Linked DNA regions of Macaca mulatta. The protein of the gene in region 2 interacts with the protein of the main gene of each other region in a pairwise test. Links are inferred from orthologs where the notes say so. Each region holds a gene or a part of one and is shown on either strand. Other genes may lie near its edges.

Region 1 (3,750 bases), on a different chromosome or scaffold from region 2:
TTTATTACATTCAATTTTAGAGAAGTTATAGGATCTTAAAGATGCAGGTGCCCTAGGATTTAACACAAAAAGTCGGCCAGGTGCGGTAGCTCACACCTGTAATCCCAGCACTTTGGGAGACCGAGGCGGGTGGATCACTTGAGGACAGGAGTTCGAGACCAGTCTGGCCAACATGGTGAAACCCTGTCTCTACTAAAAATACAAAATTAGCCAGGTGTGGTGGCACGCGCCTGTAATCCCAGCTATTCTGGAGGAGGAGGCAGGAGAATTGCTCGAACCCGGGAGGAGGTTGCAGTGAGCCGAGATCGCACCACTGCACTCCAGCCTGGGTGACTGAGCGAGACTCGGTCTCAAAAACAAAAACAAAAACAAACCTGAAGTCCAAAAAAGTAAAATAATTTGCTCACTACACATAATTTAGTTTGGTGTTGGGCCTAGATCTTAGGTTTTGTGAGTCAGGTGCAGCATTCCTGGCACGACGGTTTTTGCCCTACCACGGAAGGTCAAGTTGGATTATCCCGAGTTCTTCCAACTCTGCGCTTCCTCCCAGGTTGGTGTTTCACGAGTGAGTCTAATTCAGATCAAGCTGGCTTTTGAGATTCTGTTTTTTAAATCAGTGTGTAACACCAACACCCACCGAAACCAAATGGCTCTGGGCACAGGACACAGCCATTCACGCCCCCTGCCAGGAAAAGCTGCAGCTGACACAGGCTCCTCCAGCGTCGGCGGGCCACATGCGGGAGGAGGGGCCGCCTTCTGGTTGGCGCCGGGTGTCCGTCCCTCCTATCAGCGTAGGCCCCGCGAGGAAGACACGGGCTCGCCCTGGCTGGCGGGGCGGGGCCAGACACCTGTCCATCACCGAGTCCACGGGTGGCAGCACCTACCACACCGCAGTACCTTGGAGAGGCGGAGCAGGGGCGGGCAGGTCGCGGCCAGGGGAGGCGGAGCAAGGCCGGCAGGAGCCAATCGGCCCGGCGGCGCGAGGGGGCGGGGGCGGGGTCACCGCGCGCGACCCAAACACACGGGCTGGGCGCACCCTGCCGCCGCGCCGCTCCGCGGTCTTCCGGCGCGAGGGCTAGGGCACCTCCTCCCGTCTCGGGCACCCCCACCTTCGCGGCCCAGATCCTCCCGCCAGTCCGGCCCCTCCTTCGCAGGGGGAGCGAGGAGACGGTTGCCGGGAAGCGCGCGCCACCCCTCCCTCCCATTCTTCGTCCTCCCCTCGCGCGCCACCCGTTTTTCCTCTTTCTCCGTTAATAACAGCTGGGTGGCTGGGGGAGGAGGGAAGGTGGCCCCGGCGGAGTCTGGGCCGGCACCTCCCACTCAGCCGCCAGCCGCCGTGGGAGCCGGAGGATGGCGGCGGTAGCAGCGGCCGCCCGAGAGGAGGCGGTGCCGAGGCCCGGGGCGCCGAGCGCGGCGGCAGAGAGCGGCAGCAGCCCGTCGTGGCGCACCAGAACCGAAACCAGCGGCAGCCGCACGGCCACCTGAGCCGCCCGTTCCTGCTGGAGCCAGCGAGGGGTGCCAGCCGCCGGGACCTCTTCCTCTCCGCGTCTCTTCGTCTCCTGCGCCCGCGTCAGGCCGCCGGCCTCACCCACTGCCCCGAGAAGAGCGCGCCGGGCGCCGACTGCCCCTCGGGGCGCCGGGCGGCGGCCCTGGACGTGCGGGGGCCTCTCTGGGCCGGCCGCGGCGCCTCGGCCCTGCCCTCTAGCTCCTGCGCTCTCTCCCGCCCTCCCGGCTCTCGGGGCGCAGCGCGCGGGCCCGGCCCAGGGCAGGGCGGACATGGGCGCCAAGCAGAGCGGCCCGGCCGCCGCTAACGGCCGCACGCGCGCTTACTCGGGCTCGGATCTACCTTCCAGTAGCAGTGGAGGGGCCAATGGGACCGCGGGCGGCGGCGGGGGCGCTCGGGCTGCCGCGGCTGGGAGGTTCCCGGCTCAGGTGCCCAGCGCTCACCAGCCCAGCGCCTCAGGCGGCGCCGCGGCGGCCGCGGCGGCCCCAGCAGCCCCGCGCAGCCGCTCCCTCGGCGGGGCCGTGGGGAGCGTGGCGTCGGGGGCCCGCGCGGCGCAGTCCTCCTTCAGCATCCCGAACAGCAGCAGCGGCCCTTACGGCTCGCAGGACTCGGTGCACAGCAGCCCTGAAGACGGCGGCGGCGGCGGCCGGGACCGGCCGGTGGGCGGGAGCCCCGGCGGGCCGCGCCTGGTGATCGGCTCCTTACCAGCTCACCTCTCGCCGCACATGTTTGGAGGTACGGACCCCTCTCCGCGCGCCCGCGCTCGGTCCTCCCGCGGCTGCACGTGGGTCGTGGCCGCCGGCTATTTTTACCCTTCTCCTTTTCTCCTTCGGCCGGGCAGGTCTCTATCCTGGGAAGAAACCCCCGGCACTTAACTCCTGCGGTGCCGCTATCGCGTAGACGCGTGGTTTGGTTTTTAAACATCGTGAGCACCCTCACCTCAGCGGCTCCCCGGTAGAGAAAGTCTGTTTTCCATAGAGATGACTGGAGCAAATGTTGTTTTACAACAAACAGACGAAACAGCCCTTGTGGTTGTGGCTTTTAGTACCAGGAAGTCAGGAGGAGACCCGTTGCTAAATGTAGTTCTATCTGGGGACTCAGTGGGGAACAGTTTTTAAAGGCCAAAAGTCAAAGGGTCTCGAATGAACGCTGAGTTACCATCTTTGGACTGACTTTTAATATAAAGCTATAATCCTTAAATCTGTGTCAGTCCCACTTACTATGTCACTCTAGTTGTATGAATGCGTTAATGAAAAGTTTGTTTTTAAACCTCACTAAACCGCTACTTAAGGTCACAGTTAATGTGAGTCCTGCTTAATTTGGAAAACATTTAGAAAATGGAAAAATTTCCTAAGGAAGTAAAAATTTTGCAAATCAGCCTACTAGGTTCTTTTGAAGAGCAGTGTTGACTAGAGTTAAGGAAAAGTCAGTTGTGAAAAATGGGCATTTTTAATAGCAAAAGATGGCTTTACTATAGAAACAGGAGGAAGGGTGCATTGTCCTGGGAAAAGTGAATTCTTCTTCAGTTGTGTTTTATGCTGATCTACTTTATTGCAAAACGCTAATAGTAAATGAATCAAGACCACCTCCCCTCCCCGATTTATGAAAATAAATAGAAGTATAGAAGATAAGCATTCCCATTTCATCGCATTATGCATCTGATATTAGAAGAATTCGCAGCTGAGCACAGATTAGCAGCGAAAACAGCATCCCCTACATTTTTGTGCCTCTTTTACTCATGTGTTTGTAAACGTAGGAACTTTGAGTGGAGACTTAGTAAAGTGGAATACGTAGTAAATGCATTCCGTTCAGAGCAAGGGACAAACAGTTGAGCTCCATGCTTCCTAGTAAATGAGTAAATTTATCTCTTCTAATGTTCTGTACTATCAGCATATACGCCAGCATAAATTAAAAATAAGAATGTCATGTTTAATTTTTCCCATCTTTTAGTAACGCTTTGCACATTCAATATGGAATGATGCTTGACTTTTAATTAGCTACCTTGTTTTAAAGTAATTTTTGCTGCTTAAAAATATGCATCCCTCTTAAAATTGGGCCATTTTAAAAAGTCATTTGCTTTTGAGTAAAGGAACTCTACTGGTGTCCTTAAAGTGATTTGATCACAACTAACCTACCAGTTGAAGTTGCTGTAGTCCACATTGAAGAATATAAAAGGCAGTTTCTGAGAATTGGTGATTAGTGTGAGATTGAAGAGCAAACTGGTTTTTAATATTTATATTTTTAAA
Region 2 (3,405 bases):
ACAGGATGTCTGTGGGACCTGATGTAAAGGTCAGAAAAAAGCAGAAGTAGACTTCAAATTTTGTTCAGCTTTTTGGGTGTAGTCATTGTTTGCTAAGTATGTTGTTTAATTATCTTTAGGTACCTATTATGTTGCACTTCAGTTTTTAAGAGAGACTTACGATTTTAAATATTTTAAAGCTTTTAAGTATTTTAAAGCTTACTTTGAGGCAGTGTAGTACTACCAGCTAGCACAAGAGGTCAGCAAACAATTACCTATTCAGACTTGGAAATGTTAATATTTAAAAGATTTAAAATTGCTAAAGATAAAATTAGGAAGTACTGAACTTACCATCAGGGGACATAACATTTTAAATGAAATTGACACAGTCCCTGAGATGGTCAGTGAACACTTTCTAATCAAATTTATTAAACAAGTCTATCTTCTTGACAGCTTTAATTAAAACTGCTTTTATTCACCTTTTTAAAAACTACCTATCTGGGAGTTTTTTTTTCTTTCTTTCTAATTAGGGTCATTCAGTTGAGTATTTAGTAAAAAGTTTGTTTGCTTTTTAACTATTGTTTGACACTTCCTTGTTTTCCTTAGGTTACATTTCGGACAAGAATCTATCATTGTAATATTAACAGTCAAGGTGTTATTTGCTTGGACATATTGAAAGATAATTGGAGTCCAGCACTAACCATTTCTAAAGTCCTCCTTTCTATCTGCTCACTTCTTACAGACTGTAATCCTGGTAAGGTTAATAATTCTTTACCTTGTTTTATTCTTCCTCACCTGAAAAGTACTTGTTTCCAAAAGCTTTCAAAGGACAAAACTAATTTTTCTGCAAAACTTTATGAATATAAAAACTAATCTGCTTTTCAAAGAAAGTTTTAATCGAGAAGTTCAGTCTACTAGTTGAGACATACAACTTCATTAATCAGTATATTCTAGCAACAAGGTATTTTAAACTGAAGACGAAGTTTGCCTTGGGCTTTTACAGTTTCAGTTATTCTTCCCTCTATTTTTTTTTCCTGTTGCTTAATTTCCCATATAGTTCTTATAAAACAAATCATACACTTCTAAATGCCAAGTCATCTGCCTGGCAAGCCTCACCTTGCCTGTGGGGTTCAGTGGGCATGTGCCCATAGCTGGTCACTGAGATGGCACTCAGTTTTGAAAATGGTATTTGTTAAATACTTAGTGACTATTGAATTGTGACTTTTTTGGGACTTCATTTCATTTAAAAAATATTTTTCTGTAGTCCCAGCTACTAGGGTGGCTGAGGTGGCAGGATTGTTTGAACCCAGAAGGTCAAGGCTGCAGTGAGCCATGAGCATGCCGCTGCACAGAACTCCAGCCTGGGTGGCAAAGTGAGACCCTGTCTCAAAAAAAAAAAAAAAAAAATGTGTGTATATATATATAAATATATATATGTGTGTCTATACACACATATATTATTTATTTTATTTTCTAGGTAAACCAAATATAAATTTAGTTATTAAAGATCCTAAGATTCAGAGAAATACTATACTTAATTGGAGGTCCAGGTTTTGCCTGGCAACCTGGCTCTTTAACCAGTGTAAAGGTAAATAGTGTTGCATTGCAACAGCCCCGAAGACTTCACAGTATTCACAATGCCATAACTGGTGACACTGAGCTAAGGGTCACATCAACACAGTTGGATGTTCATTGTAGTCTGGAGCCTTGACCGTTCCAGTCTCCACTGAACTCAGCCTAACACATAAGAGTAAAGAAACTCCAATCGGGTGTTGTTTATTGGGAGAAAAATGGAATGAACTAAGATACAGACAGACCAGTAAACTAAAGCCTGAGCATTCCCTCTTCCTCCCATGTTACGATTTTTAAATTTTTGATGGAAAAATATCCGGCATAGTGGAGTGGTGTTTCGAAGATGGGTTTGATCACACATACTTGGTTGTACATGTCTGCCCAAGCTGTCACTAATGTATTTGCTAAAGTTTAAAATGTTCTTTTCCTTTCTCCAAAGTAATCTACATTCTTTTCTTCCAGCCGACCCCTTGGTGGGAAGTATTGCCACTCAGTATATGACCAACAGAGCAGAACATGACAGAATGGCCAGACAGTGGACCAAGAGATACGCTACATAAACTGGGTTTTCACAATTCTTACATTATTTGTCACAGAAGAGAGCTGCTTATGATTCTGAAGGGGTCAGGGAGGGTGGGAGTTGGTAAAGAGTAGGGTATTTCTATAACAGATATTATTCAGTCTTATTTCCTAAGATTTTGTTGTAACTTAAGGTATCTTGCTACAGTAGACAGAATTGGTAATAGCAACTTTTAAAATTGTCATTAGTTCTGCAATATTAGCTGAAATGTAGTACAGAAAAGAATGTACATTTAGACATTTGGGTTCAGTTGCTTGTAGTCTGTAAATTTAAAACAGCTTAATTTTGTACAGGTTACACATATGGCCATTTATGTAAAGTCCCTCTAAGACTACATACTTTTTGTTTAAAACAAAATTGGAATTTGTTTTCCCTTCTTGGAAGGGAACATTGATATTTAACAGAGTTTTTAGAGACTGTCATCTCATATATATAAAATGGACACGTGGCTGTAAGACACCATATAGGAGATGAGTAATGTGTTTTATTTTATATGCCAATCTACTTTGTTTAAAAAAGGTTTAAATCAGGACTTGTGAAAACCTGTAGTGAAATACCTTAAGCTGTTAACTGTAAGGCGTGGAATAGGAGTTGCTCAGTGGATTGGTTATATGTTGTGGACTACTTAAGTCTGCATTTGTTACTGTGCTAATAAACAATATTAAAAACCGCCTAATACTGCTGTGTTCATTTACTTTTATTTTGCCTTTTGGTTGCTGTTTGCAGATTCTTCTGAAATCGATAGGTATCTGCTTCTAAAACAAGCTAAAAATAATGCATATTTAGTAGGTATTATTTACCCATATTAGGATCTGTACTTTACACAGCTGTAGATGTTGAGGTATCCTAGACAAGGTTAAATAATCTACCCCATTTAGGCTTCAAAGACGAACCCTACTGCATTTTTTTTTAAAGCGTTTTCTGACTTGCAGATGCTGTAGTAGCAAGTACATGGGAAATGGGTTCTGTCAGGGATAAACTGGTACACTGCCGTAGGGGGCATTTTGGCAGTACCTAAGTATACACATGGCATGACCCAGCAGTGCTGTTTCTGTGTGTCTTTCATTACAGAATTTAAAAAGAATTGGTAACTCTGTCTGTACTAATATAGACTAAGTTGCATTAGCAGGAAACAAACTGGAAGGTACTTATTTAAAAATCATTATGAAAGCATTTGTCCATCTATGTAACATGTATGGAGGGAAAAGCTAGATTAATATTCAGTAACTGGGGGAAAAGGTAAGGGGTGAGTTAGTGTCTGAGTGGTAATTTTT
Region 3 (3,750 bases), on a different chromosome or scaffold from region 2:
AGCTCATTGAGTATTTGCTGTATGAGTGGGTGAAGAATACATGCAATAAGCAAAAATTACTGCTTCGAGCGCCGCTTTCACCAGAGTTCTGGGATGCAAACGGGAGCGACCAGTACATTGACTGACGTTTGTGACTGATGATTCTTCAGTGCTCGTAGAGATTGTGGCTGCATTCATTGTTCTTGGGGATGTGCCGATGTGTGTAGAGTTTGTCAACTTGCACACAGCTGTGCTGGCAGGACAGCGAACTAACACTAATTCGCACAGAGGTCTGCAAATTCTCAAATTCACATCAACCGAAGCACGTTATTGTAAGTGCACGGGTCTTCCGTTCTCTTGGGTAATCTGCACAGAACAATTTAGTATATTTCTTCACCGGCGATTTTACAGTGAAGAAGGTATCAAGGGTGGTGGCCCCCAAATGCGCAAGGACAGGGAAATGAATTAAACGGGCGTCTGTTTCCTCCTTGTTTCGCAAACAGACGCCAAGTCTGTATCAAATTCTTACCCTAGATCAAATCCCGCGCTCTTCGTACCCCAACCTGCCTCCACCTCCACCCCGCCCCCTTTAGATATCCCTGGTGGGCGGGGCAGAGAAGAAACATTCCGGGCTCCCAGAAAAATTGTCTAGCCTCGCCCCAGTCTTGGGGTCGCACATTTCCAAAAACACCGAGGACACAGAATGACTAGTGAAAACCGCCGACCAAATGACATTGAAGTAGCACACGCGCGCAGAGAAGGAAGCAAAACACGAAGAAAGGCTCAGTCCAGCAGCCACGTGAGGTGGGCGATCTCCTCCGCCCTCTGAGAGAGGACTTCAACTCCCGGCGTGCCCCTGGGCGGTTACCCTCCGAGGACTCCAACTCCCAGGGTGCTGCGGGAGCGGCCACCGCAACCTCCCACTCAGCCGCCCGCCGCTCCTCCCGCCCCTCCCCCGCCCCTCCTGGCCGGATCGGCGTGCGCCTGCGCACGGGAGGCCGGAGGAGTCTTACCCTAATGTAAGATGGTGGCCCGTCTGGCTGTGGAACCCACCGAAAGCTGAGAGTCTCTCTCTCAGCCGTAAAGGTCGGACTCACTGAAGCAATCAGGCCCGGTTCTGAAGAGTTTTTTCCCCGACGCTCGTTCGGTGGTTTCTTGTGAGGACGCGGCAGCGCGTGGAGTCGGCTGAGGGAAAAGCGAGGCAAGGCAGGCGGGTGAGTCTATGCGGGGCTGGGCTTAGGGGAAACCCGGGGCTGACCGGCTACGAGAGAGCGGAGGCTTCGCTGGGACTGTACAGGCCGCACCCCCCTTTCTCCCCACCCCCCGCCTCATCTTCACCCTCCTCCTCCTTGGTCTTCTTCCTCCTCCTCCTCTTCCTCCCTCTCCTCTTTACGCCACAGCAGTTATCAGGAAAAGCGAGCGGGTCAGAAGGCAGCGCGGCGGCAAGCAGCGACTCTCCTTCGAGAATTTCTTTAACTGGGGAGCCGAGGCGGCTTTTGGTCTCCAGCTTTGCCCCCTGCATTTTCATAGGGGCAGGATTCTTAGGTCTCAGTCCTCCTTGTTTCCCCAACCCCCTATTCCCTGTCTGACGTCCTTTCCCACTGGCCCCCGTCTCCCAAGACCAAAGCCATCACTTCCACTCTGACCCGTGTTGCTGCTGCTGCTCGTTAATCCCACTGCTCATTGCCCACCCGTCCTGCTGCTTGTTTTTTGCTCCACTGCTACCACTCTGGAGTTAGCCTTTGCCCCCCTTTGGTGCTTGCATTCAGCCCACAGTGTATCTGCCACACTAGGGCTTCTTCCGATTTGCAGTCTTTCCTTCCACCACATCTGTCATCTTAAAGCTGCCCCTTAAGTGTCTAGATTATGCTTCTGCTCCTGCTAACCCACCTGTTTCTTAGCCTTCTTGAGAATTGTCCGTTCCTTCCCTCTTTCCTGTACAGATCCTTTCCATATACACTTCCAGAAAAAGGGATGCCCCGTGGTGGCCCTTGAAAAGTAAAGGAAGTTGGGAAGTGAATGAAGTGAGGTCGGATAGTATTAAACGTTATGAGTAAAGATCTTTTATTCAGTCTACTCCGGAGGGGACCGTTTTCGTTTTGCTTTCAGTGATCTATTTGTCGCTTATTCGCTCTGTTGTGTTAGGACGTGGCTTTTTTCTTTTCTTTTTTTTTCATTTTGGACCGGTTTTTACCATGCTACTAAGCGTTCTTTGGATTGTCTCTGCCCAGGACACTTCGTGTGGGCTCTGATTTATACTAATATTAACCCCAGCAATTCAAAATAAGATAAATTTGGCGCACATACAGAATTCATCTGTGAACTCCGCTAGCAAATATAAGTGATATTTTGATTATATGTGGGTTATATGTGGGTTCTGTATTGAGACTTGATTTTTGACTGAGTTTTATTGATGTTCAGCTTAATTGATGACATTTTATTTATGATTTGAGTGGAAATTTCCTTTCCAGTTATTATCAGATTTACTTCTTATTTTTGGATTTGGGAAGTTCTCTTGACATTTCTAGGATGATAGTTATCTGAATAAATTGTCTTCTCTTGAAAATCCATTAGGTATGTATGCAAAAGAAAAATCGATGTTTTTATATAAACCTGTTTCTCGTATTTTTCTCATAGAAAAGAAGGGGGCTGGGAAAAGAATGACAAAGCTGTGCACATACATGCATTTGGTAGAACTCACTGTCATTGTTATCTACAGTAAAAAGCAGAAAACTAGAAGCAAGAGGTGGCTTATGATGTCCATGTTTTGGTGAAAGCAAAATTAAGATATACTGACTAATGGTATAATGGGAAGAAGCAGCCCTGGCTATAATCAGACCACTGTGAGATAAAGAATTACCAGAAAAGCAACCAGGATTACATAGTGCAAATACATACATCCCAAGTTTGAACATGACATATATGACATTGCATTCTTAAGATATATGTAAAAATGTTGAACATCAGTGACAGTCTCATGTGGCAGTCCATTAGTGGGTTATTGTAATTTTTACACATTTTACCTGTAAAATTTGGAATCTTAACATTTGGCATTATGTTCACTTGATTGTGATAAATGGTCTGTTTTACCAAATGTAAACTAAGGTTAGAAAACCTGTCTATAAAACTTTTTTCTTTCAGCCACTTAAGCCCCAATTTGGGGGACCAAATAAATACTCTTAGAACTGCAAGCAATTTATATAGCAAACTTTGTCCTAAGTTACAACTTGAGTTTTTTTTTTTTAAATCGCTTACATTTAGTTTATCAGAGGAGTGTATTTAATAGTTGATCTTTAACTCTAAAAAATATACTTTTTGTTGTTGTAATACACTGGTGGAGAAGCTTTCCACTTTGAACAATCCTAACACAGGTTTAGAAACTCTTGGCAATCATACTTGGCTGAATTGTAAGCAGTTGAGTTCTAGGAGAGGACTGTTTGTCTGGTAGAAGGGAGTAAATGATTTTAATACGTCTTTTTTTTTTTTTTTTTTTATTTAAATGGTGTTTGTCTCACGAAATATTTTCTCAAGTAATTTTCTCCCCTCATACTTTTTGCTTGCAGTTACCGAATTCTTCATTTCGGCCCTCTGAAGTCAAAAGGAATTTACTTTTGTATCTTTAGTACGTTTAAAGAAGACATCTAAAGTTCTTTAGTATTTTGATAAGAAATAGGGAGCTGAGATTTCTAAATATTTTTGTGTGGTTTAAGTTTTTTGATCTAACGTTATGAACGCTACAGCTTCATACTTTCATGGTTTCTTTTGATAATT

The links.
Region 1: the proteins of UBE2E1 (region 2) and ZNRF2 interact in a two-hybrid assay, tested with the Homo sapiens proteins (2 studies listed by BioGRID). The link is inferred for Macaca mulatta from reciprocal best matches to the Homo sapiens genes UBE2E1 and ZNRF2.
Region 3: the proteins of UBE2E1 (region 2) and CNOT4 interact in a two-hybrid assay, tested with the Homo sapiens proteins (2 studies listed by BioGRID). The link is inferred for Macaca mulatta from reciprocal best matches to the Homo sapiens genes UBE2E1 and CNOT4.

The regions. Positions count from the first base shown.
Region 1 is NC_133408.1:98,073,520-98,077,269, reverse strand, and holds the start of ZNRF2 (E3 ubiquitin-protein ligase ZNRF2), read left to right. Parts: upstream 1-1,001; 5' UTR 1,002-1,776; coding exon 1,777-2,239; intron 2,240-3,750. UniProt on the Homo sapiens protein: E3 ubiquitin-protein ligase that plays a role in the establishment and maintenance of neuronal transmission and plasticity. Ubiquitinates the Na(+)/K(+) ATPase alpha-1 subunit/ATP1A1 and thereby influences its endocytosis and/or degradation.
Region 2 is NC_133407.1:24,593,282-24,596,686, reverse strand, and holds the end of UBE2E1 (ubiquitin-conjugating enzyme E2 E1), read left to right. Parts: intron 1-585; coding exon 586-733; coding exon of another isoform or gene 734-852; exon of another isoform or gene 853-1,380; intron 1,381-2,013; coding exon 2,014-2,111; 3' UTR 2,112-2,807; downstream 2,808-3,405. UniProt on the Homo sapiens protein: Accepts ubiquitin from the E1 complex and catalyzes its covalent attachment to other proteins. Catalyzes the covalent attachment of ISG15 to other proteins. Mediates the selective degradation of short-lived and abnormal proteins.
Region 3 is NC_133408.1:175,336,094-175,339,843, reverse strand, and holds the start of CNOT4 (CCR4-NOT transcription complex subunit 4), read left to right. Parts: upstream 1-979; 5' UTR 980-1,193; intron 1,194-1,922; 5' UTR 1,923-2,008; intron 2,009-3,750. UniProt on the Homo sapiens protein: Has E3 ubiquitin ligase activity, promoting ubiquitination and degradation of target proteins. Involved in activation of the JAK/STAT pathway. Catalyzes ubiquitination of methylated RBM15.